2 linked regions of the Saccharomyces cerevisiae S288C genome follow. The protein of the gene in region 2 interacts with the protein of the main gene of each other region in a pairwise test. Each region holds a gene or a part of one and is shown on either strand. Other genes may lie near its edges.

Region 1 (3,847 bases), on a different chromosome or scaffold from region 2:
GAAAATGTAGCATCTGCAAAGGCAAAAATATCCGACAAGGAAAATAAAGCATTTCTGTGAAGATACAAAAAATATAGTTGATGGTTCACTGGCCAAAAATGTATAAAAGAAAAATTTATCTGTAAATAGTGATCGAAATAAAATAAGATAATAACTAAAGAATATATATGACTTTACTGTACAGATCTATAATTGAAAAATGACGAGAGGTCCTGTGAAAGAGTCTGCCTGTTCGCCATCTTCACACATTCAACCAATTCCCTGGTGCGCTTGGTTACTTCCATCAGGATATCTGCTAATTTTTGATAGAATCGTTTCTTCCCAAGCTTTGTGGAATCGCATCCATAAGTACACAATTCCGATAACTTTTGCGAGCAATCTGTGAGCCTTTCAATAATTTCTTTACAGTGCTCGCCTAAATCCAGTTTAAAACTTTTTTGGACCATTGCTTTGGTAGTCATATCAATCACCGATTCCAAAATAGGAATAATCTCGATGGAATTTTGACATAATCTCGAAACTGATCTTGCGGACTTGAACAATTTTGATTTAGAGGCTTGAACATCATTCAAAATGCCCTGCCTGCCATAGGAAGAACAACCATTGATTTACTCTCAACAAATTCGACGAGGTTATTTATGTTAGCGTTGTGCGTGGTTGAGTTGACATCAGAATTATTCAAGTTTTCTTCTGAAGTAGATATTCTTAATCCAAGACCAGAGTTGGGAGCAAATTTCTGCACTTTCTCTCTGAATTTCCTCATTTTGGTCACGGTTGGCGAGTAAAGTACGTCTGCAGCTGGCGGAATATTTGCATACGGCTTCGCCGTTTCTGCCACTGGTTTAGTGATAACTTTCTTCGGAGGTGATGCCTGATAATCCTGCCGAAATTTACCAATTAGCGGCAATGTGTTACCTTGAGGACTTGGACTTCTCGAGTTCGAGACAACTTTCAGAGGCAAACCTTCTCGCGGAGATGGCTCACTCGTAATTCTTGAAGAATTCTTAGTGTTTTTTAACGGCGACACAGACGCTAAGTTTGTTTCTCCAGATGTATTATTTCGTACCTTCCCACTCTCTCGAATAGAAGATTCAGATTTTTCTATGATGGAAATTGATGGCGATGCTACAACCACTGGCATGTCCGATTTTTTTGTAATGGGCTTACCAGAGGATGGAAAACTAACAGCAGTACTACCGCTATCACCCAGAGATGATATATCCTTACCGTTTTTCTCATTTTTCACTTTTTCAATAATCTTCAACGGTTTCATACCTGCCTCGATATCACTGAGTTCTCCTTCATTGCGTGATATATCATCACGTGAGGTGGATTTGATCTTCACAATCTGAGCAATATTGCAGAACGCAAAAATCACTTCCGAAATAGATGATTGAGCTACAATTCGTGGTATTAGGTCCCCATATGTGAGAAAATATCTTGTTGAAGTGATAGCATGAGATAAAGCACTCTTTAAGTATACTATTTCGTTTTCTAAAGAACTTTGCAGTGAAACTGATGATAGGACAGGTAAGAGATCGCCTATCAACTTTGCTATCTTAATTATAGTCTCAAGCAGAATCGGCAGGCGTGTGGTGGTGGTATCCACAGGATCAATTCGATGGAGCGTGTTTTGAAAATAAAGTGTAAATTGAGTTTTTAATTCTCGGAAGACTTCAATGGATATAATACCATTCACGCTCATAAAATCATCGTTTATTTTGAAGGATTCAAATAATGTGTCATTTAAATAGAAATTTAGATCACCCTCGTCTAACCCATTGTTATGCGTCCCCATATCCAAATGATGTAAGTTTCTCCTTTCAATTTCCGTGAAAATATCAAGAATCAATTTATGGAACTTCGCGTCCTTCAATCGAGACAGTTTAGATTGTGCTTTACCTCTTTTCAGATCAAGATCATTTAGTGATGCATCCGCACCCGAATCTGTCAATCTTTTCATCAATTCATCGTTGACATCAGTCGTCAGTTGCCAAAATTGTACATTCGACAATTTTGTCAGGTCTTTATTTCTATTTTGGCGGTTTTGGTTCCTTCTTCTATCATCTTCTGGTACAGAGGCCTCTATAATTCTTTTGAAATTCTTATAATCCGATATAAGGTCTATGATTTGATCATTCGTTAATTCTGAGCTAATCATTCTTTTTATTTCGTTATGGCCACATTATGATATTCTTTTACTTTACTGTTTTAATTTTATATTCTGCGATTCAAATCATAACAGATATTTAGTTGAATAACTCTGTTTTTCTTCATTTCCATTTTTTTCTATTTACCCTTCTTCTTTTTATTTTACGCGTCTCGCGTTTTATATATTAATAGTAATAATATTTAATAGTGTATGTTTGAAATTTTTATATGTCTTTATTTCGCTAACGTAAAAATCCCTTCTTCTTTGTAGGGACGGGGGAGTGGTTAACATTGGGAGAAGCACTATTTATTGAAAGTTCTAGCTGTTTTTTCTTGTCCTCCAAAGCTTTTAATTGTTTAGTTAATTTTTCCTTCATTTCTTTATGTCTAGCAAACAATTCAGTTTCTGATTTTTGTAGTTTTTTCTCCTTTTCGGAAACTTTTTGTTGGAAAACTGTTTTCATTTCAATTTCTAGTTTGGCTAGTTTTGCCTCATGTAAAGTTTTTTCTTCTTGTTGTTTAGATATTGGATCGAACTCTTTGAAAACTGAATTATCTTGCTTAATACCAAGTTTTGCCAATTTAGAAGACCTGTAGTTTTCGTATAGTATCTTGCTTGTCCTTTCCTTTAATTCCTCCATGAATTGCTTGATCAATAAATTTTTCAAAAGGTTGAAATCAGAGTGGTTGTCATTGTCCACTTCGATCACCCCCCATGGATAGGAACGGCCTCTCACTTGATTACCACTGTAGTTCTCTACAATATCGTTGGAACCAATAACAGCATAAGGTAAACTACTAAATAGTCTTTCGGATAAATGGCTATTTTCTGCATCATCGTTGGAATAAATTGGAGGCTTGAACAGCTCGATATTAGATTGGATTAACTGGTTCATAATGGTCTTCTTGAAACTTAAGATCTCTTCATCAGTTAAGATGTCAGATTTAGCAATGACAGGAATCAAGTTACATTTTTCATATACAGATTGCATAAACTTCAGGTCCAGGGGCTTTAAGTAATGTCCTGTAGGTTCAATGAAATAAAGACATGCATGGATTCTTTTATCGTTTATTGAATGTCTGTTGATTTTGTTCTCCGCATCCAAGTATTGATCAAAACGAGAGTCAATCTCCTTAATGATCGGGTCCCATGATTTTTGATCATTATTTAAAAAATCACCAAATCCTTCAGTATCGATCACGTTCAAATTCAGTTTAACACCATTTTCTTCAATAACCGACTCATATGACTTAATTTTGACCTTGTGCCTTTGTTCTTGTGATTGGTTCTCGTGACCCTCGCCCTGACCCTCCTCTTCTTCCTGATCATTTGCAAGTTCCTCCTCGTAATCTTTCACTAAATTGGCCTCAATATCATCATTATTAAATAAAGTTTTCATTAAAGTTGTCTTACCAATACCATCAGGGCCGACACATAGGAGATTGAAACTGAATCCGTTCTTTATGGACCTTCTGTGCCATTGCTTGGGCAAATTAGCAAACCCTACATAACCATTGATTTGACGACGAATGAACTTAATCTCCGGTTGGTCAGGCAGAACTTGACCCTTTTCGCTCTGAGAGGAGGTGATGCCCATACCGAGGCCGGGTTCCACCTTTACATCGGATTCAGCTGCCTCAAATCTCTCGCTGTCGTCATTTTGCGTACCGTTCGTGTACTGCGAGTCCACTCCAT
Region 2 (3,896 bases):
ACTTAGGAGTATAGTTTTCACTAACGATAGCTCATGTAATAAATCCAAAGGTGTTTTGAGCGTACCACTTTTATATTCTCAAGGGAGTGAAATCTTTGAGGTGGATTGTATAGTGCCACTCGGACTTCATTACAAAAAACCTGAAAGCATTTCAGAACCGTTAGTACAACCGGATTATACCATGGAATCTCAAAAGGTGGAGCAGACTGTTTTGATTCCAAAATGGGAATTTAAAGGTGAAACGATTGCAAAGATGATTTACGTGGATAACAGCGAAATAAATGTAAAGGTGATAGCCCTTTCTACCAATGGTTCTTTGGCATGGTTCAGAGAAGGTGTCAAATCGCCCGTTTACACAATGATGGAGCCATCCACTTCTCTAAGTTCAGCATCGTCCGGAAATCAAAATAAACCCTGTGTTGATTTTGCAATTTCTAACGATTCAAAAACCTTAACAGTAACTAAGGAAAAACATCTTGATAATGAAAACGCTACAATAAAATTGATAGACAACTCAGGTAAAATAGGAGAAGTGCTTCGTACAATACCTGTTCCTGGCATAAAGAATATTCAAGAAATCAAGTTTTTGAATAATCAAATATTCGCCACTTGTTCTGATGACGGTATCATAAGGTTTTGGGGTAATGAGATAGGCAAAAAGCCCCTTTGGATTCTAAACGATTCTTTGGACGGCAAAACAACTTGTTTTGCTGCATCACCGTTTGTTGATACATTATTTATGACGGGAACTAGTGGTGGGGCTCTCAAGGTTTGGGATATACGTGCAGTTATCGCTTTAGGGGATGCTGATGCTGAGTTAAATATCAACCAAGGACATAATAAAGTCAATGAACTATTCAAAGTTCATCACTTTTATAGCGAGCAAGTGTCCAAAATAGAGTTTTCTTCCATTTCGCCTATGGAAGTGGTTACAATTGGAGGGTTAGGTAATGTTTACCACTGGAATTTCGAACCTGTTTTTGCCATTTATAACGAGATACATGAGGACTTTCAAGGCATAATATCTGACGAATTGGAGGCCGAAAGCATGGCATTTTATCACACTGAGGGCTGCAGAAGAGAAATAGGAGAAAATAATAAGGTTAATACCGTTGCTTATCACAAATACATTGAGGATCTAGTTGCTACAGTTGATAGTGACGGGTTGTTAACTGTATATAAGCCGTTTACTGGAAAAGTTTTAGATGGCAGTAGAGAGGTTGGAGCTGCCAAAAGTTAATTTTTATATTATTTAGGCTGTTTGAGTTTGGGGCGGAAATGTATGAATAAATTGTGTAATATTTAGTCTTTACTTCAGCTTTTGTTTTTCTAAAAATTTGTTTTTAATGTTTTATTGTCTGAAGTAAACATTAATTATTAGCTTGAGAATTGCTCTACATGTATATATAAACGGCAAGGATCTACTCTTTAATATAGAGAAATGTACATACCTTTGAAAACGCGTTTTCAGAGTTTAGAATGTATAAGGTAACCTTAGAACCACATCTCTTATTGCCAGACTCTCAAAGGTGAACTGATATTGAGCCTATTTTACCCTTGTTTATGTTCACTTTCTCAATGCGAAAAAAAATCAAAAAGAAATAAACTTTATCCTTAGAGTTGAAGAATTAGAAAGAGAATAAATCAAAGGGATCAGTTGGGAAAGCTCAATACTTTCCGCTTAATTTTACTGAAAACCTCATCAAACACGTAGGCACATATATATTCATATATTTATATGTTGGCTACCTTCTAATTTGCATGAAATTCGTTCGCTCAAAAAATTAGACATTTTACTAGTAGCAAGTATTACCTGATTAGCATAGCAGGCACTGTTATCATATCTACAAAATACCAATTATATACACAGGATAATGGCTTCAATGTTCAGACCACCAGAATCCAATAGGAGTCACCAAAAGACTCCAAAATTAACGCTTCCAGTAAATTTAGTTCAAAATGCGAAATCCACTAATGATGGGCAACATCTCAACCGGTCACCGTACTCGTCAGTGAACGAAAGCCCATACTCCAACAATAGCACTTCAGCTACTTCCACTACGTCATCCATGGCTTCAAATTCCACTTTGTTGTACAATAGATCATCTACTACAACTATTAAAAATAGACCGGTACCACCTCCATTACCTCCCCTAGTACTAACGCAAAAAAAAGACGGTATAGAATATAGAGTTGCCGGCGATAGTCAGCTTTCTGAAAGATTTTCTAATTTGCATGTTGATATAACTTACAAGGAACTACTATCTAGTGCTCCAATTTCCACTAAGTTATCCAACATAGATACCACTTTTATCAAGAAAGATCTCGACACACCAGAAGGCGAGGATTCATACCCCTCGACACTTCTTTCTGCGTACGACTTCAGCAGTAGCGGGAGCAACTCCGCCCCTTTAAGTGCAAATAACATAATTTCTTGTTCCAACTTAATACAAGGAAAAGACGTAGACCAGTTAGAGGAAGAAGCATGGAGGTTTGGGCATCTCAAGGATGAGATTACTACACTAGGAATTCTAGGAGAAGGCGCGGGTGGTTCTGTAGCCAAGTGCCGATTAAAAAATGGAAAAAAGGTTTTTGCGTTGAAGACAATCAACACTATGAATACTGACCCAGAATATCAAAAGCAAATATTCAGAGAGCTACAATTTAATAAGAGTTTTAAGTCCGATTATATTGTGCAGTACTATGGTATGTTTACCGACGAACAGAGTTCTTCAATATACATTGCCATGGAATATATGGGAGGAAAATCACTGGAGGCAACGTATAAAAATTTGTTGAAACGTGGCGGTAGAATAAGTGAGAGGGTGATAGGAAAGATAGCAGAATCTGTCTTAAGAGGTTTATCATACTTACACGAAAGGAAAGTCATCCACAGGGACATTAAACCCCAAAACATTCTTCTTAATGAAAAAGGGGAAATCAAATTATGCGATTTCGGTGTCAGTGGGGAGGCTGTTAACTCTTTAGCGATGACATTTACTGGAACGTCATTTTATATGGCCCCAGAACGAATACAAGGCCAACCATACAGCGTAACCTGTGATGTATGGTCCTTAGGATTAACTCTTCTGGAGGTTGCTGGAGGGAGATTTCCATTTGAATCTGACAAAATAACGCAAAACGTGGCTCCTATAGAATTATTGACGATGATCCTGACGTTTTCTCCCCAGTTGAAAGATGAGCCAGAACTAGACATATCCTGGAGCAAGACATTTAGATCTTTTATCGACTATTGTTTAAAAAAAGATGCCAGAGAGAGGCCTTCTCCCAGGCAAATGTTAAAGCATCCCTGGATTGTAGGGCAAATGAAAAAAAAAGTCAACATGGAACGGTTTGTAAAGAAATGCTGGGAAAAGGAAAAGGATGGGATATAAACTTCCAACATTTTCCTCTCGTAACCAGAACTGACTTTTTCTACAACAGGAATTCTTTAACGAGACTTCTCCTCCTTCACCATTCATAAGTTTAACGATGTTCTTTTATTATCTAGACACTCCGAAATATTCTTAACATATACGTATATAGTTTACTGAAAACCGAACTAGCCATGGGCTATGAAAGTTCTCCTATTTCCTTACTTACATCAAATAGAAATGCGCATCCAAGTCTTTCTGGCAGGCACGCTATGATGTGCTAAATTATGACTCAAGTGAGTACTAGGCGCTTTTGTACTCAGCCGCGCGGGGAAAATTTCTTCCCTCCCTACCAAAGAGGAAAAAATCATATGGCGTCATATTATCCTATATACAACGGTCGAACAAAAATCTGCTCGACTCAGAAAAATAAAAGGGTTTTAACATACTTATTGCTTACTTAAGTTACCACTTCAGTAACTGGAGCTATAAATACAATAAGCGTTTTGTACGTAGAAAATA

The links. Proteins that work in one complex are often made in the same cells at the same time.
Region 1: the proteins of MKK2 (region 2) and SPH1 interact in a two-hybrid assay, tested with the Saccharomyces cerevisiae proteins (one study listed by BioGRID).

Annotation. Positions count from the first base shown.
Region 1 is NC_001144.5:760,182-764,028, forward strand, and holds SPH1 (Sph1p), read right to left. Parts: upstream 2,162-3,847; coding exon 569-2,161; downstream 1-568. Other genes in the region: mitochondrial 54S ribosomal protein mL57 MRPL15, read left to right, coding at 1-60; septin CDC3, read right to left, coding at 2,394-3,847. UniProt on the Saccharomyces cerevisiae protein: Polarity-determining protein which forms a conjugate with the ubiquitin-like modifier HUB1. Involved in bud site selection and cellular morphogenesis during conjugation. Required for pseudohyphal growth.
Region 2 is NC_001148.4:287,013-290,908, reverse strand, and holds MKK2 (putative mitogen-activated protein kinase kinase MKK2), read left to right. Parts: upstream 1-1,874; coding exon 1,875-3,395; downstream 3,396-3,896. Other genes in the region: UME1 (Ume1p), read left to right, coding at 1-1,240. UniProt on the Saccharomyces cerevisiae protein: Serine/threonine protein kinase involved in a signal transduction pathway that plays a role in yeast cell morphogenesis and cell growth.